Notamacropus eugenii: one gene and its partners. The protein of the gene in region 4 purifies or fractionates together with the protein of the main gene of each other region. This does not show direct contact. Links are inferred from orthologs where the notes say so. Each region holds a gene or a part of one and is shown on either strand. Other genes may lie near its edges. The genes, in order: GPN1, RPRD1B, CTDP1 and POLR2C.

Region 1 (7,148 bases), about 54 Mb from region 4:
TGCAATCTAAAACATATCTAGATGAGGACCTCAGTACACATAAATGTATATATGACATGTGAAAATATAATTCTATACCAATATATTGGGCTAGAATTTATCTTATAATAACCTTGGAATTCATAAGGGTGAAGAGTTAAGGATGATTTGGATGGTGATTTTCTCTTTCAAAAGTTGTTCCAGAGAAATCTGAACTGAAATAAGCTTCTTTTTCTTTCAAATGTGCCTGTAGAATAGGTATCCTGAATCATTCCATTGACTAGGGTGTTACAATGATGATTATTTCTTCCACTGCAAAGCTGTTAAAAAAACCTAATCCTTAACATATCTTTTTGCCTTCTACCATTCTCAGTAAAATTCAGAAGTAAACATAAGCTACTTAGTATCAAATCAAAACAATGCTACCAGGAAATAGGGAATTCTATTAGCTCACTTTCTTGTCCTTCACTACTACAGGGCCCCCTTGACATATTTACAAGAGTACTTCATGCTTCATTGGAACACCAAGACAAACCAAAAGCAAAAAGGCAATTACTAGGTCTTTGGCACACAACTTTAACATCTCTTTCCCCTACCCTTAAGTCTCAGATTTGTCAATAGCAGTTGGACTGGGGCCTGTACCTCCCTGTTTATGTTGCAATGGTTCAAACAAATGGGTGCAAAGACCAAGGCAACAAAAAGGGACCTACCTGTATTTGCTAATCTGAGATTTTGGAATGTCTGTGTTACCACTGTAGAGTCAATGTAAATGGTTGCCATCAAAAAGAGTTTATCCTTTGAAGAAAGTTAACATTGAGTCCCAAAGAAAGCAAACATTCATAGCTTGACTTGCTCCTTTTCCGGTCCACTATAGAGAATATCTGGTAAGCAGCCAGGGAAGCCAGTCAGTTAAATGTTGAGATGCTGGAAGATACTGAGATGGATTCTGTTTTATCATCGGAGGATGAAGTGAGTGAGGGAGGTATAGATAATTCCAGGAATTAAATGTTAAACAGCACTACAGAAGAAGTGCTAAGTGAACTTAACTCTCCTTTTAATACTTTCAATAAGCTATTATCTTAAGTCATTTTCCATAGATTTTTTTTTACCAGAAATAGGTTTTTAAATATGAACTTTTCTACTGTTGTGTTTCATCCCTCTTTCTACAGTCTGACTGATAGCCTTCTATTTCATATTCATTTCATTTTTTTTCCATTTAAAATTACAAGATCCTAGAGGCAGAGATCACTTAAGTTACTTTGTACAGCAACTAACAAAATCTGCTTAGGTGGATGTATAATAAATATTCTCACTAATTAGGATGAATTCATCCTTGGTTTGGTACCTGGGAGAGGGGCCAGCGTGGTCTTTGAACTGCTTTGTCCTTTCTGACAGGGAACAGCTCTTAGTAGTTGACGCCGTCTCCCTTCTTTGATGCTCTCCAGGCAACACTGCTCTAGCTGTAGTTGCTGCTTCTGCTTTCGAAGCCTGGTCCGCTGGGCCTCTAGCTGCTGGGCTTCTTGAATAAGCCGTACCATTTCCTTATGCAATTGTTCATTCTCATTTTGCAGTTGCCAGGTGAAATCAAGGATAGATTTGTCTGCTGCATGTTCCAGGATATGGTTGTGCTTTCCCATCATACTTTTCCCCAGCAAAAGCTCTACATCAGATAGCTGATGCTTCAGTGCTCTCCACTCTTTAACCAGATCACCTTGTACACTATGAAGGTGTGCTTTGGCCTCCTTCTGGACTCTTGGTTTTTCCATTTGCAGTGATTTGATAAGCTCCTCCTGGGTAATCTTTATTGTCCTCCTAGCATTTAATGCTTGAATCTTCTTTTTCAGTTGGGCTTGGGTCTCTTCTTGTCGCAGCAGCTCTTCCCGGAGTGATGATATATGGGACTCATAACTGGAGACCAGCTCCTGCCTTTGACATTGTATCTGCTCCAACTGTTGTGTCTGTTGATCCCATACCTTAATTGGTGCTACCTGTTTTTTCTTGGTTGGATCAGGTACATATCCCATTAGGACAGGGCTGTCACCTAAGAATGGTTGGATTTCAGCTTGCATGTGGCAATGATCATCTATGAGCTGCCTCCTCCGGGCTCGTGTTTGCATCAGTTCCCCATTCAGCTGGATCATTTTCTCCTCTACCTGTGCCTTTATTGCCAGCTCTTTCTGCACCCTTTTCTCCAACTCCTCCTGTGACTTTAAAAACTGCTGTAGCTTTTTGCTACCCATTAGCAAAGCAATATTACGATTCAGATTCAGATTCTGCCATATCATTCTGGGACCCCGAAAAAATCTGGGGGAAAAGCAGCCAGAAATATGTTATTTCTCCATTATACCTTTATGATTATTTGTGAGCTATTATTATTACCTTGATGTCACTTATCTTTCATGACACTCAGTGTGTCATCCTTCATTGGCTCAAGCCACCAACTCTTTCACCTCTCCTAAGCAACTCTCAAAAATTCAAAGGACAGTGTGAGCTGTTATGTTCAAAAGACATATGATTTCATTGTATGTTCTCCTCTTATTGACAGACTGCAACTCCTAATGTGCCTTTATAAATCACTTTATGAATTTCTGTGGTCAAAAAATTTATTATTCAGTAGCCAAACTCTAAGTAATGAAGCTTTTTTGATCTTAGCTAGGCTGGTCCTAGGGTGACAATATTTCCCAACTAATCTACTCTTTCCAGCTTGGTAGGATCTATCACAGCTTTTGACCTCTGGGTATAGACAAAATCCAAGGAGGTAGGGCAGATTACAGAAGAGGTGTACAAAAGCATGCCACTGTTTTGTAACAATAGATTCAGTAATGGCAAAACTCTGGATGTTCTGAGGCTGACAAGGAAATATAAAGTCAAAAGGAGTTTTTAAAACCTTATTTGCATTTCTGTCCCCAGATCCTAGTACAGTGCCTGGTAGGTGCTTACTAAATGTTTGTTGATTGACTGGAAGATTCCCTTTCTCTGGAAGTCCTCTAGCAAAGGCTATTTCGGGGCATGTTGTGGAGGGGGTTTTTGTCTCACATGTGGGTTGCTCAAGAAAGTCTCTGAGGTTCCTTCCAACTCCTTACCTGAGGTAGATGCTCTGTCCAGTGCAGTACAAGAACTGGGAGAAAAGTTGGGAGAATCTTTTTTTTTTTTTTTTTAGCTGTTTATCCTTTGCCATCTCTTGCTAAGCTAACCCTTTCCCCCCATGGGTCTCTGCTTTGGAGAGGTTTTCCTCCTTTGCTCCCTCCGACCCTTTTTGAGCTCACCTGTTACGAGTACTCAAATGTTGCTGATCCCAAAACTGCTGGACACGGTGCACAAGGGTAGCGGGGGTGGAGGCCAGGGAAGGAACTCCACGCGAAAGATTGAGTCTCATGAGTTCCTCCCTGTGGAAGCTTCTGGGAACCCAACAAGTGTCGACGTACAACCCTACAGGAAGATTGACGTCCGGTGACCACTTCTGAGTTTTCCCAGGGCCAGAGGACCGAGAGCTCTTGTCCTGGTCTGGGGTCTTGGGCACCGTACAGAGGACACAGTAGTCGCCTTTGCCCACTTCTTTCCTGCCTGTGGCAGGCTGAGCCTCGGAGCTCAGGGTGTCGTCGCTCTCTTCCCGAACACTTTCTTCTCTGGAGGACTTAGAATTCTCGTCCACTTCCCAGTCCTTCCCCAGTTGAGTCGAACCCAACTTTTCGCCATTTTTGTCGCCCGCTCTCCTCACCACTTCTTCACCTGTGCTTTCTTTTTGCACCCGCTCTGGAATATCCTTGATCCATTCGAGCCTCAGAACGTCTTCAAAACCAGTCCTGGGACCAGCGACGGAACCCAGGTGATTGGATTCTTCTTCATATTCCACCCCAGTCTCAGGTCCCTGTGCAGGCTCCGCCCCCTCTTCTGCCCCCGCCTCTGATTCTACTCTACTCTCAAATCCCAGTGCAGGCCCTGCCTTTGGCCCCGCCCTTGGCCCCGCCTTCGATTCCGCCCTACTCTCAAATCCCAGTGCAGGCCCTGCCTTTGGCCCCGCCCTTGGACCCGCCTTCGATTCCGCCCTACTCTCAAATCTCAGTGCAAGCCCTGCCTTTGGCCCCGCCCTTGTCCCCGCCTTCGATTCCGCCCTATTCTCAATTTCCACGGCAGGTTCCGCCCTTGGCCCCGCCTTCGATTCAGCCCTACTCTCAAATCTCAGTGCAGGCCTTGCCTTTGGCCCCGCCCTTGGCCCCGCCTTCGATTCCGCCCTACTCTCAATTTCCGCGGCAGGTTCCGCCCTTGGCCCCGCCTTCGATTCCGCCCTACTCTCAATTTCCACGGCAGGTTCCGCCCTTGACCCTGCCTCCTCCTCCTGGGTCCCTGGCCCTGTCTCCAGATCCGACCTAAACTCTGATTCCGCTCCGTTTTGCCCGCTTGCCGTCGGACTGCTACTCAGTCTCATTTCCAGCATCGCTCTGCGCAGGCGCTGCCGTACACACTGGCAAGATGGATTCTTCTGCGGGAGCGGCGGCTCCGGAGGCAGAGGGCCCCCAGCCCCGGCCTCGGCCTCCAGTGTGTCTCCTGGTGCTGGGGATGGCGGGGTCTGGGAAGACGACATTCGTACAGGTGAGGTGGGGAGAGGCTCTTGCTGGAGGGGCCCTGGCCGCGGCTGCCCGGGGTAGCGGTGGTGGGATGGCGGGAGCACCTTCACCTTCGCCTTGTCTCCCGCAGAGGCTCACGGGATACCTTCACGGCCTGGGCTCGCCGCCCTACGTGATCAACCTGGACCCTGCGGTGCACGAGGTCCCCTTCCCAGCCAACATCGGTGAGTCGGCGCGAGCGTGGGCCCGACGTGTGGAGGAGCCCTAAGAAGTTGCGGGTCGAGCCGGGCCTGTGGGCTCTTCGACCACTCTTACACCGCCCCAGCGTCCCAACCTGGCGCGGTCCCTCCCGGCCTCCCCCTCTTCCTCTTGTCCGGCTGCCCTGTTCGCTCAGCTGGGGATGTTATGACGTCATTTACTAAGATTTGGGAAACTGAAGGGACAAAAGGTCCGCTTTGCAACAGTCAGTCAGTAAGCATTTAAGTGCCGTCTATGTGACAGGCACCGTGCCAAGTGCTGGGGATACAAGAAAAAAAGGTAAAAGACATTTAAAAAACGATCAATGCTCCTACTCAAGAGGAGCCCACTGTCTAAGAGGGCAGACTTGAAAAAAAGCTATGTATAAATAAGCTATGTATGGGATAAATTTGGAACTGAGGAAGACATTTAACTCAACAGTAGACACTGAGATGTTCTAAGAGGCTCAGACTGTTCTTAGAGTCCCAAGAAACCTGGGGTACTTTATAGCACCTTGAGGGCAATTACTGCTTTATTTTATGAGTGGAAATGCTTAATGCATATTGATTGATCCAGTCTTACAATCTACCAATGGATCAACATCTGACAACTAAGTGACATTCAGTCTACGTGGAAAGCCTAAGTGCCAACTCTAACATCCCTGAGGAGTTCAATCATGAAGGCTGCCTGTGATCCTGAATCTGCCCCTGTCCATAGGACCTCCTTCCATTTTTGCGCAGTTCACTTGTTCCCATTTAAAGAACTTCATCTTTTTCTAGACAATGAAAAAATTGGAAAAGAAATTCTCCTTTAAATCTGTGACCCTAAGTTATTGACTCCTAGTGTCACTTAGGCTTCTTGTATTTTAGGGCTTCCTAATTCCCAAGCCATAGTTTTATTCTATTTCTCACCTTTTTGGGTAACCTTGAATTATGTTGTCTTTGGTCATGAGATGGCTATAAATTGGAAGGCAATCATTAAGCCAAGATACTAATTTTAGTTTGCAACAGTGTTGAAGACTTGGACTGAAAAGTTATTTCATTCTCTGTGTCCAAAATTTATTTGTTAAGTAAATGATTTGCTAGGGGAGAAGCAAAGTGGAGTAAGTAGATGGAGACCTCCCTTGACTAGGAAGATCTAAATTCAGTGCTCCTGGCAACTCTAATTAGTTGCCAAGGTGCCACCCTTCATTTATACAACTCATTTCCTCATCTGAGAATTCTCTATACCAATGACATCACAGTTCCAATCCCTTTTTCTATTCTTATTCCTGCGCCCTTGGGATACAGAACCAGAATATTCTCTGTCCTTAAGGAATTTAGGTTCTATTGTCTTGTTCTGTGTTCTCCATTCCATTCCATAGCCCCTTCCAGTTTATTCCTTGACATCTATTGAGTCTTAGTGTCTTTTAAGCTATTTTCAGAGGCAGACTACTAAAATGAATCTACTGTTTCTTAAAAGAGTACTCCTCACGAAATAAGGCCCAAGTGAAAATGGGATCATAATTACTTGAAAATATACTTAATTGTACAAATTTATATGCATTTTAATTCAGAAAAACTTTTTAAGCTGGATCATGCCTTAAAGTTATTTTTTCAAGTACTTCTATAATAAATGCTTAGTGAAAGGTTCATTAATAAATTCTATTAATTCTGCTTAAAATGGCTCATACTGTATTGTAAGCTGCTCAGAGTTAACACCTTTTGAGAAGATCATTGATAGAGTGGAGTGTATCTGGAGAAGGGCAAACTGGCTGAGTTGGGGACTTTGGAGACTTTACTAAATGTGGGTCATTTAAAGAAAGTAGAGAGGTTTAGCTTGGAGAAGAGTATGTAAGGGGAAAACGATGTTATGTGGAAGAAATATCAGACCTTAGAAGTCAGTAACATAACAACTCAGATTTATTTGGTGTGTTAAAGTTTACATACAACTTTCCTTACAGAGACAACAGGGTATAGTGGATAAAGCAATGACTTGGAATCATGAAATCCTGGATTCAGATCCTGTCTCAGATAACTTTATAGTTGTCTGACCCAGGGCAGATCACTTAATAACTTCCCTGTGACCCAGTTCCTTCATCTGTAAAATGAGAGGATTGAACTTGATGGTCCTTAAAGCCCCTTCCAGTTCTAACTGTACGATCCTTTGAGCCCCTTGTACTGTGTTCATATTAAAAGTATTGTGTGTATTTTACAGATAAAGCTTAAAGAAATTCCTTCCCAGAGTTACAGCTAGGAAGTATCAGAACCTGGTTCAAACCCAGGTCTTTTTGACTTCAAGTGGAAGGTTTTTTCCATTATGTCATGCTGCCTTTCCACCACAGAGCAATGAGTGGAAGTTTCAAAAAAATAAATTTTCGACTTAACG
Region 2 (7,571 bases), about 46 Mb from region 4:
TTCTTCCTTCTTGACCTCTCTCTCTGTAGTTTCTGACCCTGCTGAATATCCACTCCTTCTGAACACTCTCTTGGCTCCCAGGATGCTGCTTTTTCCACTTTTTCCTCCCATCCTGACTACTTTTCAGTATCCTTCATCCATCTCTCCCCCTAAGCAGGGACACTGCTTCAAGACTCTGTCCTGGGCCCAATTCTATTCTCTCTATAGACTTTCTCCCTTAGTGATCTTATTGGCTACTATGGGTTCAGTTATCTTTCTGTAGATAGCCCCCAAATCTATATAGCCAATCCTAATCTTTCTTCTGAATTTCAATATTCCATAGCTAACTGGATATCTCTAACTTAATGTCCCATTTTAAATGCATCATGTCCAAAACTGAACTCATTATGTTTGCCCACCAAACTTCTCTCTCCTCTAAACTTTCGAATTTCTACTAAGGGCATTTCCATCTAGTTACAAACTTTGGAGTTATCCTCTCTCACCTTCTATATCCATTTAGATTCAAAGTCTTATTGGATATGATCTTCATAATATCTCTTGCCTCCACTCCATTCTCTTTTTTCTCCAATACCTGACCTCTACCCTAGTTTAGGTCTTCATTACATGCGGCCTAGACTATTATGGCAATTGGCATCCCTCCCTCCCCCAGTCTCCTCCCTCTTCAATTCATCTTTTACACAGCTATCACTACAATCTTATGAAGTACAGCTAAATCATATCTAGCTATCCTGCTCTTAGGATAAAGCACAAATTCATTGGCCCTGGACTCCAACGTACTCTTGTAGTCTTATTCATAGTACCCTCCTTCACACCTAGCCAAACGGAATTTGACATTCCCAGTCCTGCCTTAATATGTTGGCATAAAGTATCCACCCTTGAATATGCCATCTTCCCATTTCTGCTTCAGTTTTAAATTTATTTTGGTATCACTACCTACTTGAGGCCTTCTCTGATGCCGGCATACTTGTATTTTTTTCTTGCTCTTTCCTCAAATCACCTTATATTTACACCTGTATACATTATAATTCCATTCCCCAATCCTTGAGGTCAATTGCTCTTTCGTTTGTGTCTTTTTATCCCTTTACCTTGTAGGTAATAGGCACTGAGTGAATGCTTGTTAATTTCAATCAACCAGCATTTATTAAGTGCTCCCTATGTGCTAAGAACTGGGGATACGAAGAAAAGGGGAAAAACTGTTTAAATGGGAGGTAATCCCAAAGGGAAGGTACTAGTAATGTGGAGGGGGGAGAGAAAATGGGAACCTGGGAGGCAGAATAGGCCAAAAGAAGGGAGAGTTAGGTCTTAAAGAAGGATTTGAGCTGAGTCTTGAAGAAATTGAGGTGGTGAGGGGAAAGCATTCTAGGGATGGAGCCAGACAATGAAAAGGCAGAAAGTCTGAAGATGGTGTGTCCTGGGAATGGAACAGCAATAAGACTAGTGTCTAGTATTATAGAGTACTGGAGGAGAGTAAAGAGTAAGAAGACTGGAAAGGCAGGAAGGAGTCAAATTGTGAAGGGCTTTAAAAGTCAAAAAGAGGATGTTATATTTGATCTTGGAAATAAGAGGGAGCCACTAGAATTTAGAGGAAAGAGGTGACACGGTCAGGACTGCCCTTTAGGATGACCATTTTGGTAGATGAGCGGAGGACAGACTGGAGTGGGGAGAGATTTGAGGCAGGAAGACCAACCAGAGGGCTATTGCAACAGGTGATGGCAGCCTTCTCCAGGGTATTAGCCGTGGGAATGGAGGAAAGAGGGCATAAAAGAGAGACGCTGTGAAGGTAGAAATAATAAGACTTGGCAATAGATTGGGTCTGTGGAAGAAAGGTGAAAAAGGACTTGAGGATGACACAGAGGCTGTGAGCCTAGGTCACTGGGAGGAAGGAGGTTAGGGTTTGAGGAGGTAGACATAATGAATCTGGGATGTCTACAGAACATCCAGCTCAAGATATTGAAGAGGGGGTTAGTGATGCAAGATGAGTTCAGAAGACGATCTGCATTTAAGAATCATCTACATAGAGAAAAGCTTATGAGATCACCAAGTGAGATGTACTGGGAGAAGAGGCTCCAGAACAGTATTGGAAAACACTAAGAATTAGATGGTATGACCTCTATGAACAATCAATGATGCAGGTTGAAAAAGAGGTAAGGTAGGTAAGAAGAACAGGAGGGAAAACCTAGAGAGGAGAAAGTATTCAAGAGAAGTGAAGGATCAATAATGTTAAAGTTGCAGAGAGATTAAGAAGGATGGGAACTGAGAAAAGGACACTAGATTTGGCCATGAAGATCATCATTGATCATCTCTGAACAGACTTAAATTAAGCACTGACATATTCATGGCCCAAACTATGTACAAGAAACAAAGCCATGTAAAATGTAATCAGTGATATATGTTTGGTGAACTGAAATGGCTCACGAAAGTCTTTGGCGCCAAAAATAATACTAATTTGGTGAGCATCCCCTAAGTGCACAAATGACAGCTCTTTCATCTATATAACAAAACAGTGTCATATATTTAAAAGGAGAAATAGATTTGAGAAATAGATTAGATAAGTTTGATCTGAAAACTAAATTAAAGTGCTCTGGTGGGGTGATGGAGCTAGAAGACTCATATTGCCCTAAGTCAGAGCCACAGGAAAAAGATTCATGGAAAAGGTAAGATTTGAGATGGACCCCAAAGTTAGAAAAGAGAGAACTCAGATATTCAGCAATCACAAGATTTCTTAATTTTATGAATGAGAAAAAAAGACAACTAAAGAGATTAAATGAAATGGTTAATATAAGTGGCAGAGTAGATAGATGGCACAGTGGATAGAATGGATAGACTCCTCTTCCTAAGTTCAAATCCAGCCTTAGACACTCACTAGTTGTGTGATCATGGGCAAGTCACTGAACCTGGTTTGCCTGTTTCCTCATCTGTAAAATGAGATGGAGAAGGAAATGACAAACCACTCCAGGATCTTTACCAAGAAAACCCCAAGTAAGCTCACTGAACAGTAAAACTCAACTGAAAAAGTACTAAACAAATAAACCAAATATATAAAGTGGCAAAGATTCAAAACCACAATCCTCTGCCTCTTAATCCAGTATTCTTTTGAGAGTGTATAGCACTCTCAACAAAAACAAAACTCTCTAGACCTATAGTGTTGCCGTGGGAGCACTAGCATATGAACAAAGGTACAGAAATGGGAATGACTCTGCTCTAGGTAGGGAGACCAATCTGTCTGATAGAGGAGGGGGAAGGTGCAAGTGGTTAATGCTGAGTGGGGCAGGGTAGGATGCAAACAAGTGTGCTACCTGGAAAAGAAGGCTGTGTTTAGAGTATAACAAACACCTGGGCTCTTTATCTTTTCAGCTGTGTGACTCAGGGTTAAGTTGTTTTCCTTTTCTGAGCCTCAGCTTCCCTATCTGTAAATTGGGGAAAAATAATACCTGCACAACCTTCCTAACTGGGATGTTTGGAGGATCAAACAAACAAAAAAAATAAAGCTGCTGTGAGTAAAGTGTTTTGTAAACTATGAATTGCTATATAATTGTCAGTTATGACGACAGTGAAAGGGATATTACTGGAAGATTTGAGGTGGCAGAGAAGGTATGGGAATGAGGATAATACATTTTAATTATGGCATGTGGTGCCGCTCAGGGCCGCAGCGGTTAGAGTTCTGGGCCTGGAGTAGGAATGACCTGAGTTCAAATCCAGCCTCAGACACTCACTAACTGTGTGACCCTGGGCAGGTCACTTAACCTCAGCCTCTGAAAATGGGGATGATAATAGTAGCACCTACCTCCCAGGGGGCTGGTGAGGACCAAATAAGATACTTGCAAAGCGCTTTGCAAACCTACTTGCAAAACTCTTATGACTAAGATTTACTTTCCTTATAGAAGCGCAGTGCAAGTATTACTGTTTCCCATCTTATATATTTCACTTCTAAGTTGTGGCTCTTCTTAGAAGTAAAATCCTCAAGGGCAGGCAGCTTTCTGTCTTTCGCCTCCTTTGGTATCGGAGCTTAATAAATGTTTACTGCTTCCGAGTCCCATCCTCAGCTACTTAAACAGAGAAGTAGGCCCGGAAGACAAGCGGTCGTTTGTAAAACACTCTAAGGAGAGAAATACCCCAAAGAAAGGTTCCGAACAAAGGATTACTACCTTCCTTCAGGCTAGGCGGAGATTAGGGAACCGCTCACATTCGCACCCCCTTTACCCCAGCTGAGCGAGGCTAAGACGAGCGCCGGCTCCCTACACATGCAAGAGTTGGGGGCTGGGATCCAGGTCTCGGGATTCCCAGAGCATAGGGCCGGGCAGAAGAATAAACATCTCTATCCTAGGCCTCCCCTTCCGGGCCTTCTAGCCTCTTTTTCTCCACTTCATCGGGCCCTCCTTCTCCTTTCGGAGAGAAAACTCCTTCCTCCGCTCCGCACACTTTCCCTTACCTGCTTCTCTTCTAGCCTTTCCCACCACTCGCGCTCCTTCCCGGAAGTGACGTTTACGCCGGCGCGCCGAAGCACGAGAAAGGTCCCGGGACGCCGGGAAAAAAGGACCAAGTTAGACTCAGTGAGTTCGCGCGCCGAGAAAGCGGTACCCGCCCCTTCCGGGAACTCCGCAGGGGGCCCGGCCTAAACTTCCCCCTGCTACCTCCTTCTCTATCTTCTCTTTTGGGCTGCCTTCTGGGAGGGTATATGAGAGTCTACCGAAGGTAAAGCTCAGCGGTCGTCCGCCCGCCCCCGCCCTGCTTCCCTCTTGCTTCCGCGTCGGCCCTTGCCCTTTGCCCTCCCTCGCGGTGGGGTGAGAGGTCAGGTGGCCATCTTGTGGCGGCGGCGGAGGCGGCTGTTACCGAGGAGACTCGGCCGCCCCTCAGGCCTCGGCCCCTCAGGCTCTTGGCCTGGCGTGACAAGTCAGTCTGCTGCTCGGTCTCGGACTAGGTATCGTCCCGGGCCTCGTGTCCATCGGCTGCCGCCTCCCGCTCCACGCCGCCCGGAAGCCCTCCAGTCCTCCTTCCCTCCCGCCACCATGTCCTCTTTCTCCGAGTCCGCGCTCGAAAAGAAACTCTCCGAGCTGAGTAACTCCCAGCAGAGCGTCCAGACGTTGTCTCTGTGGCTGATCCACCACCGCAAACACGCGGGGCCCATCGTCTCAGTGTGGCACCGCGAGCTCCGCAAAGGTGCGTATCCCGCCGGGGCTCCCCGGCCCCCGCCTCCCGGGCTGTGTATCGAGCCCCGCAGCACCCCGTGTGCTTCTGTCCCGCCCCCTGCCACCCCCGCCGCGATCCGAACCCGTGTATTAAGCGCCGATTGTGTCAGGCGCAGTGCTTACCCCCAAACACGTCTGTCCGTGCGGTTCTCCCATCCTCCAATCTCATCTTCCCTGACCCCCGCCTCCCCCATCTCCGTAGGAGCTGGGAGCAGGCATTTCAAACCTCCTATGGCTCAGGCACTGCGTTAAGGGGTAGGGGTAACCTTTCAGCGCACCCCCCTTCTCTCTGTCCAGTTCCCCATTCCGCCATGTGCTTCTGTCCGCCCCTCCCCGACTTGTCAGCCCAACATGTAAGCCACAGGTCTGTGCCTGCCCCTGCCCTAGCGCTCAGGAGTCCCAGAAAGGTAAAAGGGAGCCCTCATGCTGGAGGAGCTCGCAGACCTCTCCTACCTCCGTCCTCAGCCCCCCTCCCCGCTCTGCTTCTGTCTGGACAGATGATGGATCGAACACCTTTTCTGTGCCGAGTACTGTAACCCTAAAGGCCCTTCCTTTTCTGTCTGTCCAGCTCCCCAGTCCTCCATGCATCCCTCTCTGTGTGTTTGTGTCAGGCCCCTAGCTCTCCATGTTCCCCCACTTTACCCTCCCCTCGTCTGAATAGCTCCCGGCTCTCCGTGCATCCCTCCTGACCAGCCCCCAAACCACCAGGTCCCTACCCATCTCTCTCCAGGCCACCGCTACCTCTGTTTTTCCATCCCAACCTTCCAGACTAGCTCCCCACTCTCCGTGCACACTCCTGATGACTATTTAGCATCCAGCCCACCTCCACAACCGCCTCGGTCATTCACCACTCCACACAGCCCTCCCCACCTGAGTCCCCAACACTTCACCCAGGCACTCCTCCCCACGACTGCTTCCATGTCCTTTTTTCTTTCAAGTCCTCCTCTTTCTGCAAGTTTTTCCTTTGGGCAGGTCACCGAGTTACCACTGCAAGGTTGCTGAAGAAGCTCAAATGCCTCCTTTGGGAGGGAGGAATCTCATTCTGATCTATCTGCCCTGTTTTTCTTTCTCTACTCTTTGAATATCCAGGATCTTTTTGCTGGGTTGAGGAAGGAGCCTACGGGCATATGTTCTCCTTGAGGTACTACTGGAAGTAGCTAAAGTTAAGTCTTTGGTGCCTCAGACTTTTTGGTTAGAGTTGAGCTAGTTCACATCAGCAAAAATTTTATAGCTACTGCTATGTATAAGTTACTGTGCCTTCCCCAAAATTTGAACCATCAGTAGGAGTTCTGTGATAGCTTTTGATGCTGCTTCTCCGTGTTCTTCTCCACCTTTTATTAGCTAGAAGTGTATGTTTCAGAGGTCTTCAAATTTGTTTCCTTGTAAAATACCTCTGAAGTACTTAAAATTACCTTGGCCAAAATTAGTGCATTTTCATTGCCAGAAATATTTCTGTTTACCTAGTGCACACTCCTATTTTTCTCTTTCAACCTCATTTTTTTTTTTTTGGCTTATGAAGTCATCTCTATACTGTAGTTTGCCTAAACTGCTTTTGAAGAAACAATTTCTTTAAAAAGGAAATATGGTATTGCCTATAAAGTGGGTAACTTAAAGGTTGTTCTCAGGACCTCAAAAGAAAGTCAGTAAGTTTTTGTCTGTGTCCAACAATCAAATGAACTGATTGGGAGAGTGGGGTTAAAGGGTGGAAGAGAGAGGAAGAGAATGGTCTTAAATGATCAACCTTTGCCTTTTGAAGAGAGCTTTAATTTTTAATGTCACAATGGATAAGAGCTTTGTAGTGTGCTGTCTGTATATCTGGGGCTTTTAAAAAATCGCCTGCTGTTCCAGTAATTCCCAAGGTCTATATTTTCCTCTGACAAGACTTCTCTTTATACAGATGACTCCTTGCTAGGGGCACAGAATGTTTCCTGAGGAAGGGAAGAGAGTTTCATCCTAAACACATCGTAATAGCTTGGCTAGAAGGATTATGAAAGTTATTGTCATTGTTAGCAGTTAAACTCTTTAATTTCTTATCCATAGTCTTCTTACGTAACTCATAATTTCAAGTGCTGGAAAAGTTTCAATTCATGGGTTAGAACTTGAAGGGAACTCAGTGTTCACTTGCTCATAACACCCTGATTTTGCAAAGGAGGTCCAGAGAGGTTGAATGACTTGTCCAAGATTGCAAAGGCAGTACATGACAGAATTGAAATTTGAACCCAGATCTTATTCCAAATGCAACCCGTTCCACTTTGCCATGGTGCTGTTCTGCAGTGTCCAAATTGTTTTCTTGTTATTTGGATTCTGGGTTTTTGAACATAAGGATATGAAATATATAAACCTTTATTTAAGGAGAATTGGCTATCTTGTTATTTTTTAATTCAT
Region 3 (7,109 bases), on a different chromosome or scaffold from region 4:
AAAGACCTCCCTTTCACCTCTTTGCCTATTTAGCCCAACTAAAATGTAAAAACTTTGGATCTTCACATTGATTTGCCATTCTTGTAATAGCAAATACTCACTGTATATTATATTTATTTGTGCATATTCTATCCTCCATTATTCTGAACTCCACAAAGGTTGGAAATGTCTTATCTAATATTCATATCTTGAATTGAAAGAATAAAAATATACCAAAAAAACTGACATTCCTGTTAAATGGCAGAAAAAAGAAGTGTCAACACAGACAGCGTGGTGTAATGTAAAAAGCACTGTTATCTGATGTTGAAACCTCTTCTCTTACATGTCCTTAGTTGTATGATCTTGGGCAAGTCACTTAACTTTCTTGGGTCAAAAGTTTCCTCATCTGTAAAAAGAAGGGACTAGACTTTGAGCTCCCTTCCAGGTCTAGATCTATGATGCCCTATTATTACACACATATAAGGAACAATAACAACAAACACTATGTAAGCAACCTTTAAGCTAAACCTAAGTTATCTTGGGTTGTAATTTCTTTAGTGTAGGGAACTGAAAGTGAAAGAAATCTCTCTACCAAAACAAATCAGCTACAGATCTGTAATTTGTAGAATTAGAGGGCTGTCTAGCATATTGAGGTTAATTGGCTAGGGCGGAAGGAGGAGAACAAAATGACCACACAGCCAGCAAATGTCAGAGCTGGAATTTGAACACAGTTCTGATTGACACTCAAGATAGCTTTCTACCCACCACACCATGCTTCCTCTAAGATCTTGTAAAAAGGTTAATTAATGATATTTTGACCAATTGCAAATAAGTGTACTATATAAAAAACTGACCACTCCTCCCACCACAAAATAAATAACATAATATACTTTAAACCCGGGGAATGAAATTAATTACAGGCCAATTTTCCTTAGAGCCACTGAACAGCAAAAAATAACCACAGTTCAAGAAATTGATGAAAGTAATCTACAATATGTTAGAAAAAAAAGTAGACATTTCTGCAGTGGAGTCTACCAGTTAAGTGAAATGACTATTTTTTTCACCTTTAATTATCTTATGATGACCCAATGACTCATTTTGGTCAAGTATATGATCACAGAGTTTGAAACAAACTAAGTACTGAGACAGGGTAGAAGTTTGGCTAGATTCAAAAGCTTGCTGTAATTTTGTACTCTAGAGAGCTCAGTCTCATACGTTCTTCTTAGCTATGATGCACAATTATATCATATTTTTATCACTTAGTTTCACAAGATTAGAGCGCAGGAAAAAAAAAAGAGACAGACAACACCAAATACCAGATCAATCTGAACAAGTTAGTATATTCAAACAATACCCAGCTATAGTTCAGATGTAGACATGTATACATATGTGTATATATTTAAACAGATGTATACATTATATACGTGTTTACTTCAGCATCATCATTTCCTGTTTTAATCTTAAAGTCAAACAAAATTTTAAAAAAGCAAGTGGAATAAATGTTTGGTTTTCTTAGAGACTGACTCCAACTCCCCCCAAATTTTTTGCACTGCAAAAATAACAACAACCACAGCTTTCTGGCTACATAAGAAAAAAAGACTTGTTAAAGAAGAAAATAAAATCAGATTTGGTTTAAAAAAAACCTTTTGTTTGTCCAGCTAGTAAGCAGCGATTTAAAGGAGAGGAGTCCAAAGTTGCAGAAAGTAGGATGGGAGTAGACCAAATAATCCATATTTCAAGGTGAAAGAGCTTTTCATTCCCTAAAGAAATGTCAATTGATAACTTAAGGCATCTCTGTCAGAGGTGTGCCTCAGAGACCTCACCGCCAAAAAGAACCCTGTAGCTATTCCTGAGAGGAGAAGCCTTATTTTAATCACATTATTTTCCCCTTTAAGCCCCCCTGTAGGGCAGCGGGTGGGGCGGGGAAAGAGCGAGGAAGAGAGAAGCTGAGATGCAGGAGAGCGCTGGGAACTCGCACCTGCCTCCTCCTCCTCGCACGCTCTCGGGTCGGTAAGGGGGTATACTATAATGCTCCAGGCGCCGAGCCCCCTCCCCCCGCCAGGTATCTGGGGTCGGGGGAGGGGGGGAAGGCAGGAGGAGGAGCAGAAGGACAGGGGCGAGCAGGACGGTCCCAGGACAGTCTACTTAGAGGCGACGGAAGTTCTCGGTTTTGAATAGTTTCTCCGCCTCCGCCCTCCAGGAAAAAAGAACGAAAACCCTTGGGCTGGGGCACAAGCCAGCTCCCTCCGTCTTCTTCCTCCTCCTCGGCAGGTCGGCCCGGTGCCCAGCGATGCCTGAGGCTTACGGGTGGGGAGGGGAGAGTCCCTGAGCCGGCCCCTATGGGGGGGAGGGAGGGGTGAAAAGGTCGGGGGAGGGGGAAACCGAGGGAGCGGAGTAACCCCCGCGGCCGCTTACCCCGGGGGGACCACCTGTCCCCGCTGCGCACACAGCTCCAGCACCACTCCGGCCCGCTCCGACTTCACCCTGCGCTCCGCCGCCCGCTGGGTCCGGCCGCAGCCGCCGGCCTCCGGGCAAGGCGAGGGCTCCCCGCGCTGGTTCCCGCACGGGTGGGGGCTGCCCTCGCCGCCGCCGCCCCCTTTCCCCTCTCCTTCCCCGGCTCTCCGGCGCGCACTGCAAGCCGGCAGCCCGCCCGCCTCGCCGCCGGCGGGAGGCACGATGGGGAGACACACAGCCAGCACCGTGCCGATCTGCACCGCTGTGCCGGCCGCCACCTTCCACTCCAGCAGCCTCAGCGGCCTGGGGCCCGGGCAGCGGATCTCCGTCACGGCCGCCGCCAGCGCCGCGGGGCCCTCGGCAGAGCGGGCCGGGGCTGGCCCCTTGGCGGTGGGGGCAGCTGCAGAGTCTCCGACGCCGCCGCTGGGGTCCGCCCGCGCCTCCATCCCCCTCCGGGCCGTGCGTCCGCCGGGCCCTCTCCCCTGCTCCAGCGCCGCCGCCTCTAGTGCCCGGGGGCCGGGGGCAGCACGGCGCGCGGGGCGGGTCGCTATGGCAACGCGCTTGCCGCCGGCTCGAGACCGGGAAGCGAACGGAGGAAGGCTAGCCCTCCCCCAAAGGGGGAGAGGAAAACAGCGACTTCAAGGGGAGGGAGGCGGAGTGGAAGGAGAGGTTAGAAAGGTGTGAGGAAAAAAGTAGTAACTGTTCCTTTAGGAGGGGGTTGGGGGGGAGGGAGGATGGAACACGGAGAGGAAAGGCAAAGTCGTACGCGTTTGCGTATTCAGGGCCCGGCTTCCATTTAAAGCCACAGTAACGCGGAAATCCCAGCGTCCCGGATGTGGGGCAGGGGCGGAGGTGGTTATTTCAGCTCTTCCCGCCCTCTGCTCGGCTAGTCACCTCGCCGCCAGTTCCCCCGGTCTATGACGACTTCCTGGAGAACGTAATGATCTCATGGAGGGGAGAGGGCGTGGTCAAAGGGGCGGCTTCTCACGTGCTTCCCTCAGACCGCGTGTTTGTCTGTGGGCGGGCGGCCTGCGTGTAAACACACGTACGCTCACACGCACACGGGAGGGAGGGCCACGGAGTCCCGAGACCCTGGGGAGAGGGAGTCCGCGTGAGCAACTGGTACCGGAAACGTCCGAGAAATAACCCTCACCGGGCACAAAACAGCGGAAGCGGTTGTACCAAAACCCTCGTGGTTATCCGCTTCATGTCTGAGCGCATGAGGACTACGAATCCCAGCATGCAACTGTCCCCCAGTGGTGTCTGTGGAAGCCGGGCTGGCGGACTACAGATCCTTGTTGAGTCTCCTTCTCGCAGTTGCATGCTGGGCCTTGTAGTCTCGTGGGGGAACGGGACCTCCCTACAAAAGCGGAGCAAGGAGAGTCCTTTGCGCTTGCGTATTCAAATACACTGGAAAATTTGTGGAAAGCCCTCCCACGGAAAGACATTGTAAAAGCATATACGGTCCCTTGTTATTCTTGATCTCTTATCGAAAGCTGCCTGGGAGTTAAACCAGAAATGGACTTTAAAACTTCAGGTTTGCGTTGGGAGGAATATCATGTTGTATGTGCCATTTTACTTGTCCCCAACTTAGGACCTTGCTAGGGAACTTCACTCAACCCTGATTCTAATGGGGCTATTGCCTAGACACTTAAACCTCTCCTTCCTCGGCCAAAAAGGTTGTACCATAGTTTCAGGAATTATTTACACTCTTACCCCTTCTGTTTTAGACCATTGGCGACTCCTTCTGTTCGTGGATCCACCCTTATCACAAAATAATGGGAAGCAGCCTCCTACTGAGTTCAGAAGCACGGGGGAGGGCCTAAAGACAACCAAATGTCCAATTTCAGTTGGGGGAAATGAATTAAAACTGCTAGGAACCAGGGCGCTGTGCTGGGGGCTAAGGGCGAAAACGCAAAGGAAACAGTCTGCCTTCTGTATGCTCAATCAGCCTGAAAACTTAAAGTCCATCCTGGCCGCGTCCGGTCGGAGCAAAATGCCTGGGTGGAGTTTTTTGGCAAACCTTCTGTTTTAGGCATTCTCAGGCCCTCCAGATCCTTTACTAAGTCGCTGTAGTGTCGGTTAGATCACTGTTAGTGATTTCTCTCTTTGAGTTAAAATGAGAACACGAGTTAGAAAGCACTTTCTGCACTCAGTCTAGTTCAAATGGCTAACAGCTAGGTGTAAGAGGTAGCACCTTAGTGAGAATTCCTTTATCCCTTGGCCTGGGGGAGGGAAGAAGCCAGGACATCTAGAGGGAGGGGGTATTGCTTTAAAGAAAAGTGCTGCAGAACAAGCTTTCCCCTGTTACAGTGTTGCTGGCACATGGCCCCTGAAACATTGTCGCCAGCCAAAGGCTCCTTCCCTGCCCTTCCCTACGCGTCTGCTCTCTGCATCACGAAAGGCAGAGGTGTCAAACTCGCCGGCCACGTGTGCCCAGCAAAGCTCTCGAGTGTTGGCGCGAACCAGCTTAAAACGTAACAAGTCAATGTTTAACCAAACGAATCAAAATACAGCATAAGTAAGGTCAGTTTGTGGTTTTGTCAATCAACATGCGGCCCCGCGGGGACCCGTTTTATTGGATTCTGACACCACAGATGTAAGGCACAGTTTTAAAATGTTCTCCCTTTGCTGCCCCTGCCCTCACACCTCTCCCTTTAGCGGAGAAGCTAGAAAAGAAAGCCCCTACCGCCTGGCATTTAGGCATGCCAGTTTAGCGACTCCCCATTCTTGGGACACCCAAACAAAAGTGAGTTTTCAGTACCTCCAGAGGGCCCTCTTGCAAGGGGCTCTTCTCATCGCAGAATGCAGGAGACACCCTAGACTGCCAACTGCCAGCCACAACAGCCACCCCTGGGCTGCCTGGGGCTGTGGAACCTTCTAGGGTTCTTCTGGCCTTGATGTTCCAGTCCCACCTCTTGCTCTAAAAATGTCCCCCCTGCCGCACCTGACCCAGCCGAAACAACTGCTGGTCCTGGCCCCTAAGGAGCTTGAAGTCAAGGCGTGGGAGACAAATCCGAAACAAAAAGTTAAGGGGTGTGAGGTGGAACGGAGATGGAGAGCATGGGGTGTCTTCAAGCAAGTATTAAGGATACCTCAGAATTAGACACTGTTTCTCAACTGTGGACCAGACAGACTCATGAAATATTTTTACCTGGTAAACAAAATTTTTACAACCAAAGGTTTTTGCTCCGTGAAATTGATAAACTTTAAAAACCTATTTCTTTTACTTACTGTTTCCACCAGCTCTGGTTTTATCCTCCCCCTGCAGTTCTTAAACTGCAGTTAATGAACTTCATATGTGTATGTCTACACACACACATATACATACACACACATATACATGGATACACACATGTGTGCATTATGTAGGTTACATATATGCTTTTGTATGTATATAAACACACATGTATAGGTATATTAATAACTAAATTTCAATGTAATTGGCTTCCTTTATAATGCCATATATTTTATTTTAAAATATTCTGAAGAGTCCAAAGGTTTCAGAAGATTGCTAAAGGGTCTATGACACAAAAAGAGGCTAAGAACCCCTTTTCCTCCCCACTTCCAGTCAGTGAGAACCATCCACACTAAGTCACAAGTAAAGAATATTGATATTTTAGCATTCTACAAGAGAGCAGCATACCTTGGTTTGGGAAACAATGAAACAGCCTCTTCTCCAAAAATCTTCCGGAAAGTTAGTGATTGTCAGCTATAAGGCCCTAAAAGCCAAGAGGCCTTTGGTACTTTGTTCTTGGGAATCAACACCTTGCTCCAAGTGTCTGTGCGTAGTGAAGAAACATTCTTGCTGTCCTCACTACCATAAAAGCTTGTTGATTCAACCTTTATGACTGTGAACCATTATTTAGGAACTGGTGGGGAAATCAGGCCCATTGTTTTCACATCCTCAATAAAGTAGGGAAAGCCAGTATTACTGGTAGCTTTGTGAAGTGTCAGACTCGAAAAGGGCACTTAATTATCTTTATAACCTAGACTCTACCCCAAATTAAAATCTGCTCAAATTTATAGAAAATAAGCCATAAATTGAATCTTGATGATATCTTAATGCCTTCTTGGAGCCTGCCAAGTTTCATCAAATCTTAAATTACTTATAAGTGTATCCTTGAACAGGAAGACAAAAATAGAAAAGGCTAAGCAATAAGGTTAAAATGCAGGCAAATGTCCACCATTTTATAAATGAGGAAACTGAGCATCAGGAAATTTGTGACTTGTCCGAGGTGATATGGTTAGCAAAGGACAGAGGTAAGATTTGGGTTCTTCTGGCATGAAGAAACAGGGGCCAAGGAAGGTAATGTATTCACTATAAACTAGTGGGTGAATCAGAACATTCAATTAAGACATTTTTTAAACACCTACTATATGCCAGGCTCTGTCCTGGGTTCTGGAGAAATAGAGAGAAAAATGAAATAGTCCCTCAAGTAACTCACTTTCTACTGGAGGAAAACATCCACTTATGTAAGTAAATACAAATTAACATGCTGGGTAGACCCAGAAATATTGGTGGATGGCTGGATGGGATGTGCTGGAAGAACTAATTGTTAAATTTTCAGTGTTAGCATTTACCCTGTTAGATACCAGTAAACCTTAAAAACCAGCACTTGATATATTGTTTTGTTGATTGTCTAGAGGGGAGAGAGTGATGGAGAAAATGTAGA
Region 4 (7,792 bases):
TATATTAGCATAAATTGTCAATAATGTTTTCCCCTACATCTTCATCCTTCACTTAGTCCCCTGCCTATTCCTTTATTATTAGATACAGATGTCTTCCCATATATCTAACCAACTCCACAAAGACAAACTTATTGCTTCCTAAAGGATAAACAGAGCAAGATGTTATGACTGTTCACTTTTTCACAGCAATTTGGAATTAAAGAACATGAGATGGTTGAGGGGAAATGGGGAGAGTGGAATGAAAAAATTTGAGAATTACTATGATATAAAACTGGACAAATGAATACAATCTAACAGCTTGAAAGGATGTTATCAAGGAAAATACTCTCCAGTAATCAAACTGAATATAATCTTACCCTGGAGTTTTGCAGCTTGTCTACAATGTCATCACTTGTAAGAGGGATTAATCCTAGAAAACACAAAGCAGTGTTTCAAGTAGGTCAAAAACCTTTCAGAAGTCAGGTGGTTTCTTCTGATAGCTTTCTAAGACACAAAATGGCAGCCCTTCTCCCCTATTCCTCCTGAACTTAACACTTACCTAGTCTGTGGGCAATGAACTCATCATGTAGCACCGAAGAGTTAGCATCGATTTGGACCCAGTCTATGGCTTAAAGGCCAAAAAAGAAAAAAAAAAGAGGCAGGAATGCCATTGAGTCACAGAGCTCACATAGAAGAGGCAGGGAATCAAGCAGGCTTTTGTGCTGGCCCTTCAGAGAGGAAGACCAAAGGCTCCTCATTATATCCCAATATGGGCCATATTGTCATTTGCAAGTCGGGCAGCACTGAAATGAACTGGAGGCTGCCTTTGTTTCAAAGCTCTCTAGAAACTGTCCCTATACTATGCACAGAGCACCATCCAGCCTTATTGAAACCTCTCCTATGTACTCCCTTTACTCTATCTAGAGTGGTCTCCTCGTTATGACCTTCATAATCCATGCTTATATGTCTTCATTTTATTTTGTTCATATTATAAGACCCAGCTCAATTACGACCTCCTGAAAACTAAGACCTATAATGACCTCTTTTATCCAAACCATATTTCATTTAATGCTTGCATTATACATTTTGGCACTTTTTAAGTCAGTCTGTCAAGAAACATGTATTAAGTGCCTATTATATGCCAGACATTGTGCTAAACACTATGAGCTTAACTGTTAAATAAATATGTATATTAACTGTTAAAAGTTTAAGGAAGAGGCTATCATTGTGGACTACAGTGACTAGGGAATACTTAATGGAGAGATTCAGGCTGATTTAGACCTTGAAAGAACAAGATTTGGTTGGCACGGAAGAGAGGTGAAAACTGTAGATCATCCCATTGCAGAGTCACAGATCACTAAAGCTGGGAAGGAACCTGAAAAATCATCTGGTTGAACGCCATTTCATTTTTTTTCATTCTCCACTTAATACTATGTAAATTAATGTTTCTAATTCAAAGTAGGACAGAAAAAGAGGACATGTGAATTTCTAATATGTACAGCCTGCTTTTCTCCTTTTTTCCTGGTTATTCTCCTTGCTTGGGTTTCCTTTTGTTCTTTTCTGTGTATTTCAAAACAGTGTTTCAAAGACAACCTTTTTCTTTCTTTTTGGTAACTGTACTGCCATCCCTCTTTCTCCTTCTTTCACCTTCTTCTTCCAAAGTGGAAAAAACCCCAAATAAACCCTTTTAACAAATAGTGAAATAAAACATCTCTATACGGTTGCTACACACACACACACACACACACACACACACACACACACACACACACACACACACACACACACACACACACACACACACACCCCCCCCCTAGTCTTTCTCCAACTAGTTTGTACTTGAGATACTGGCTGTGTTTTACACTTTCGGGGGGATGAGAAGGTATACCACAGTGCCTAGTCAGAGCCCAACGTTCAATGAATTGTTTCAATGCGTCTGATTAGGCATAGCGTAGACAAAGGAATAAAAACAGTCTGAGAGACTCTGAGCTTGATAAAGCTTTTTTTGATACCTCCAGTCACTACAGAACGCCTCCCACCGAAATCTCTCCCCCTTGCTGTTTTGACAGCTCCCAACTGTATTGCAATCTGGACTGGTTATTTGTATAGTATCCTCATCTCCCTCTTCCAAGGCTTGCCCTGGTAACTTCAAAAGCTCCTAATAACAGTTAACTGACAGCTGGACGGCGACTTTAGGGTTACCGGGCACCCACCGCACGTACGCTATCTGACTTCACCCACCATAAGCAGCCGGCGTCACGCTGTGAGATGAATCCTCCAACAGACCCCGCCCTCCAGGAGCCTGAGACCGAAAAGGGGGTGGAGACAACCAAGGGGGGGCTGCTGTTTTACTCAAGAGTGTGAGGAAAAGGCTGTAAGGACTCTGAGGAGGGCAGAAGAACCCGATATCACGGCGCAGGTAGCATCGAAACGGGACCCCGGTGGGAGCAGGGGGCAGCTGGGAGGAGGAGGGCCAGGGACAGGTCAGTCTGTGAATAAGAGGAGCCGCCCGCGCCCCGGCTTCCACACCGCCTCCAAGTCCCCTCCCTGCGCCTCCGTTTAGCCAGCTGCAAAGCGGGAGAAGGGCGAAGGCGGCGCCCACCCAGGGCTGCCAGGGGGCACGGCAGCCAGGCTTACCTATGATGGGCACCTCGGCGATGAAGACCCTGCGGATGGAATTGGCCACCCTGCGGGGAGGAGGGACCAGAGGCGAATCAGAGGGGGCCCCAGCCCGCTCCTCCCCGGTCCCCGCCCCCCCGGGGCGTCCCCGCCCCGGCCCCTTCCCCAGAGCGCTCTCCCGGGACTCTCCGGGCGCCCCGGGCGGCGAGCTCCTTACGCCAGGTCCGTGTTCTCGATGATGAACTTGACGTTCTCGTCCGTGAGCTCGGTGATCCGCACCGTGGGCTGGTTGGCGTAAGGCATCGCGACCGAGAACGGCCCGCGGCCTCCACGCTCGGCCCTCGGCTCTGCGTGCACCCGACCACCCGCGCGCCGCCGTGACGTCACCGGACGCCGGAGAGAGGCGCCGCCCCTCCCTTCCCTCGCTCCCCCTGGAGCCCACAGTGCCCCCTCGGCCTAGGAGGAGGAACTACAGAAGGCGCAGACGGGATGGAAGTGGGAGGAGAACTCAACCCCGCCACGGAGGTCTTCGATCGAGCAAGGGATTTTACGCGCGCAGTCCGACTGCCTCCTTTCATAGACAGGGAAACTGAGTCACAGAGAGGGGAAGTGCGCAAGGTCACACAGCTGGTAAGGAGCAGTCAGAACTGGGACGCGAATGGCCTTGACGCCGCGCTGCTTCGCTTTCAGATGGCTGGTGACCTCATCACTTCTCACACATCCCAGTTACCGCTCCCGGGCCCAGACATCCAGCCGGAGCCCCCCTGCTGAGCAGCTGGCCCGTGGCGTGGGAAGACTGGAAGGGACCGCTGAAGTCCCTGAGTTCAATCAGTTAATCAGCATGAAGTCAGACATTTCAAAATCGATATCCTATATCGATTATACACGTATACACACATGTGCATACACAGATACATACGTGCACATTTATATGTATATGTCTATACATACACACATATGTATATGTGTGTATGTGTCTGTAATATGTATTTTATATATATAATGTAGGCTTCTCAAACTCAACAGGTCCAAAATAGAACTTTTAATCCTTTTTCCCTCCCAAAATCCACTCTCTTCCAAACTTCCCTAGTACCACTACCACCACCATCACCACCACTACTACTACCTCACCTTCGATCGCTGAATGGGTGTTGCCTCAGACAAACCTGGGAAAACCCACTGCTTCTGGGGCCATCCCCTGGAGTCCTGACCTATGCCTTGTCCCCGCACTCCCAATGACTGGAGGAGAGAGTGGGGCTGATGACTTTGCACAGCTCTGCCTCACTTGAATCAAGTCAAGACATCATCCTCTTGGAGAATGATGAACGACAATAACAATCCTAAACCATAAATATGACAAAATCCCTTTCCTGCTTAATAAACTTCAGTGACCCCTATTACATCTAGGATCAAAATACAAACTCAGAGCACTTCTATACTTTGAGATCTTGGGGGCAGGTGGGATCAGGAATCCTACTTGCTTAGGTTCCAGCTGTTATTGTCTAAAGCCTTTTACAACCAGGCTTTAACCTACCTTTATAGGCTTATTATATATTACTCTTCTTCATGCTTGCATTCAATGATCCAGTTAGGCTGCCCTTGGACTTCATATTTAACATTCCCACTTCTTTCCTTTTGCCTTTTTACAAGATGTCCTCTAGGCCTGGAACTCACCACCTCTACCTCTTAGATCTCTTGCTTCCCTCAAAGGGTACTAACCCTGAAGATCACACAGGTTCTAAGCGGCAGTCAGGATTTGAACCCATCTTTTAACCTGCAAATCCAACACTTTCCACGGCATCGTGAAGCTCCCTCATATACATGTCTCCCCTAATAGATTATAAGCTCCTTTCATTTCACCTTTACATCTCTATTGCTGAGCACTGAGCCTGGCACAAATCAGTCAAATAGCATTTAAGTACTTTTTAGGTGCCAGGCATTATACTAAATGTAGTAAAACAAAGAAGGGCAGAAAACAATCCCTGCTCTCAGAGTTCACAGTGTAATTGGGGGGAGGGGGTATGTGTGTGAAGGATAGCATAAGATAGAATGCAATCACTTGTATATGTATTGGGGTTTGCTTTGGCAAGAAGGACCACTTTATGTGAAACAGGTGAAGGAGAAGATAGTGGCAGAAGGTATTTGAATGATGTGAAATAAGGAAGACAAGAAAGGATTGTTCGTTGTGAATGGTCTCAATTTTTTCAGTGACATGTGAAGCAAAATTCTCAAATGAGAGGACGAGGGAAGGATAAAAATGCTTGGAAAAGCCAGGATTGTATGGGATGATGCAGGATTTATTGGGAGTGTTCTCAGAGAGAAGGCATTAAGAAGGACTGATAAGGGCAAGAGAGAGACTAAGGCTGGATATTTAGAACTGGGAGTGATCTGTCATAGGGATAACTAGAAGCTTTGATTAGTGATGAGGTGACCAGTTATACATGGCAAGACCATTGGGGTTTAAATTCTGCCTGCTACTTACTAGCTGTGTGACTTTGGACACTTCCCTTCTCTGAGACTCAGTTTGCAAGAGCAAAAGGTGAGATTTAATGCTCAATTTATTAACAGAAAGGGGACCACACAGTTACCATTTGCACTGCTGTGTTGTGGTGTTTGGGAGGACATCATTCTTTAAAAACAAACCTTTTCTCTTTAACTTAGAATCTTTTATTTTTTTTGCCTGCCTTGTGGGTTCTATTATGTACTGCTGGTTTTAATGTATCTTTTCATTTTATTATGGTTAATAATCCCACATTAGGATTTTAAAATCTTGCCTTTTTATATCATTTGTTTCTTTCCCATGTTTTTTTCTTTTTTCTTGCAGCTTTTGTGTTGATATTATCCTTTAGAAGGAAAGATTTCCCCTCCCATTAGAAACAAAACACCCTCTGTCCCATACTCTTTATCAAAACAATACAGAAATGACTTGATCTTGCTTTTGTATTATAAGTGCGCTGCAAGACATTTGTAGTAATTATAAATTTTACTACTCTGAAATATGACTTTTTATTTCTAGTCATTTATTGAGCCCCAAACCATTGTGATCTAAAGTTTTCTTATTATATATGTAAATCCAGAATCAACTGACTTTGTGCAACAGAATTAAACTTTTGACTTATTTAAAAAAAAAAAAAAGGTGAGATTTTGGTGAGGCTTCAAGGAAGCCAAGGAAGCTAGGAGGTGAGGTTTGTGGAAGGGTGAAAATGTTTGGAAAAGCCACTGTATTGAGTGGGATAGTGAATGGGTGGTGTTAAAGGATTGCCTTGCTGCTATAAGGGCCCAGTTGAAATTATGTAACGTTAACCTGTAGTGGACCCAGTCAGAATCCTTTCATGATTTTCTCCAGCCTTGTTCAGCAGCTTATGAATAGGAGCACAGGCAGTGGATGGTGGGAATGATTCAAGGATGAGACTTGGTAGGGTAAATGGATGAGAGGATAAAGGTGCAAGGGATCTGAGAGGGCAGCATAGGGTTGAACTGGTTTGTCAAGAGCAAGGGAGTATAGCAGGTGCGGGGGTCATGAGTTGGGAAAGAACTAAAGGATAGAGGAATTGGAGGTCACCGTGAAGACAAAGGAAATTGGGTTTGGAGTTGCAAGGCAGAGATAGGATGACAACAAATTATGATCAGATAAAGGAATTTTATTTGGAGTTCTTGAACATGGATATGGAACACTTGTGATGGCAAGACCAAGGTACGGACCATCTCCATACGTAGCTGGGAGCAGAGGACATAGGTGCTTAATAAATGCTTTTTGATTTAATACTTACCTGGTAGAATTCCCTCTATATGCCCCTTAAGTTGTTGTCCAGCCTCTTCTGTAAAATCATTGGTGATGAAGGACTTAGAATCTTTCATGGCAGTCTGTTCAAATCCTAAACAGCTCTCATTCTCATTTGTCCTTATACTCAGCTAAAAATCTGTCTCTTTTAAGTTTCATTCACAGTTTCCTCCTAGTTCTCTCTAGGATTCACTTGCAGAGATCCTTGACCAGCTGGTGCTACAGCACAATTCAAATGCCACCTCATCTTTGAAGCTTTCCCTGATTCTTCCAGTCTTAGCAATCTTTTTTGGGGGCACTAATTGGCACTTTTAATGAACTCAGTCTTCAATATTTTGTGTTAAAATTATGTATATGAATCTTACTGTCCTGATGGGCTGTGACCTGTATGTGGGAAGGGACCATACCTTATAACCAAACTGGTTATCCTTTTCAGAGTGCTCTGCACATAGGTGATTAATAAATATTGGAATTAGGAACTATGAAGACGCTAGGGCCACACTGGAAGCTGCAGTACCAACCATTTACTTGATCCTCTAGTATTGGCCAGTCCCTTAAGGCCATTGGGGGCTCTAAAATGTCCCATAGGCACACAGAACTCTTTTCCCATAATAAATTCCTTTTTGACAAACCTAAATTTTATTTTTTTTAACCAACAAATATTTCTTATTGTTTATGGTATGTGTAAGGCTCAGGGGTGGGCCTAGGCCCATATTGTGGAGATATATAAAGAAACATACAACATAAGTCTTAATATGCTTTTAAACTTTAGGGATGGGGAAGATGCTGCTGTCAATAACAAAGAGTCCAGAAGAGCATCCGAAGTTTAGCACTCAAAAGGACCTTAGGGATCATCATCTAGTCGAACTCCTTCATTTTCCAGATGTTAAAACTGAGGCCAAATGAGGTTATTTGCCCATAAATACACAGGTAGTAACATAAGACGTGGGACTGGAACCCAAGTCTTTTTGATTCCAAATTCAACACAATACACCATGCCACGCTGAGAGGCCGAAAGAAAAGGGAGAATTTGGTTTTATACACAGATTCATTGAGCTTTTAGTGTTGAAAGGGACCTCAGAGATCATCTATTCCAACCCCCTCATTTTATAGACAAAACAGGCCCAGAGTAGAGAAGTAACTTGTCTAAAGTCACAGTTTGATTTTGAAGTGTCTTAAGGCACAAAGGTACAGTTGTCCAGCTGGCAGTTAAAAATACAAATCTGGAGTTAACAATTTGGGAGTCTCACAACTAATAGTTGGAACTGTGGGAATAGCTGAGTTTGCTGACAGAGTACAAAGACAAAAAAGAACCTTGGTGAATGTTGACATGTAGAAGATAGGAAGAAGAGATAATGGAAAAGGAGAAAGATTAAGTTAGTAGGGAAAGGAGAACCAGGAGAGTGAATGTTA

The links.
Region 1: the proteins of POLR2C (region 4) and GPN1 purify together in Homo sapiens (affinity purification with mass spectrometry; 3 studies listed by BioGRID and IntAct, with this or other methods). This does not show direct contact. The link is inferred for Notamacropus eugenii from reciprocal best matches to the Homo sapiens genes POLR2C and GPN1.
Region 2: the proteins of POLR2C (region 4) and RPRD1B purify together in Homo sapiens (affinity purification with mass spectrometry; 3 studies listed by BioGRID and IntAct, counting the BioPlex papers as one, with this or other methods). This does not show direct contact. The link is inferred for Notamacropus eugenii from reciprocal best matches to the Homo sapiens genes POLR2C and RPRD1B.
Region 3: the proteins of POLR2C (region 4) and CTDP1 purify together in Homo sapiens (affinity purification with mass spectrometry; 3 studies listed by BioGRID and IntAct, with this or other methods). This does not show direct contact. The link is inferred for Notamacropus eugenii from reciprocal best matches to the Homo sapiens genes POLR2C and CTDP1.

Annotation. Positions count from the first base shown.
Region 1 is NC_092872.1:528,877,946-528,885,093, forward strand, and holds the start of GPN1 (GPN-loop GTPase 1), read left to right. Parts: upstream 1-4,148; 5' UTR 4,149-4,449; coding exon 4,450-4,569; intron 4,570-4,674; coding exon 4,675-4,768; intron 4,769-7,148. Other genes in the region: CCDC121 (coiled-coil domain-containing protein 121), read right to left, coding at 1,325-2,283, 3,063-3,157. UniProt on the Homo sapiens protein: Small GTPase required for proper nuclear import of RNA polymerase II (RNAPII). May act at an RNAP assembly step prior to nuclear import.
Region 2 is NC_092872.1:428,751,357-428,758,927, forward strand, and holds the start of RPRD1B (regulation of nuclear pre-mRNA domain-containing protein 1B), read left to right. Parts: upstream 1-4,570; 5' UTR 4,571-5,006; coding exon 5,007-5,157; intron 5,158-5,309; exon of another isoform or gene 5,310-5,351; intron 5,352-7,571. UniProt on the Homo sapiens protein: Interacts with phosphorylated C-terminal heptapeptide repeat domain (CTD) of the largest RNA polymerase II subunit POLR2A, and participates in dephosphorylation of the CTD by RPAP2. Transcriptional regulator which enhances expression of CCND1.
Region 3 is NC_092875.1:201,295,041-201,302,149, forward strand, and holds the start of CTDP1 (RNA polymerase II subunit A C-terminal domain phosphatase), read right to left. Parts: upstream 3,011-7,109; 5' UTR 2,880-3,010; coding exon 2,395-2,879; intron 1-2,394. UniProt on the Homo sapiens protein: Processively dephosphorylates 'Ser-2' and 'Ser-5' of the heptad repeats YSPTSPS in the C-terminal domain of the largest RNA polymerase II subunit. This promotes the activity of RNA polymerase II.
Region 4 is NC_092872.1:475,144,124-475,151,915, reverse strand, and holds the start of POLR2C (DNA-directed RNA polymerase II subunit RPB3), read right to left. Parts: upstream 3,001-7,792; 5' UTR 2,902-3,000; coding exon 2,816-2,901; intron 2,667-2,815; coding exon 2,617-2,666; intron 608-2,616; coding exon 539-607; intron 410-538; coding exon 357-409; intron 1-356. UniProt on the Homo sapiens protein: Core component of RNA polymerase II (Pol II), a DNA-dependent RNA polymerase which synthesizes mRNA precursors and many functional non-coding RNAs using the four ribonucleoside triphosphates as substrates.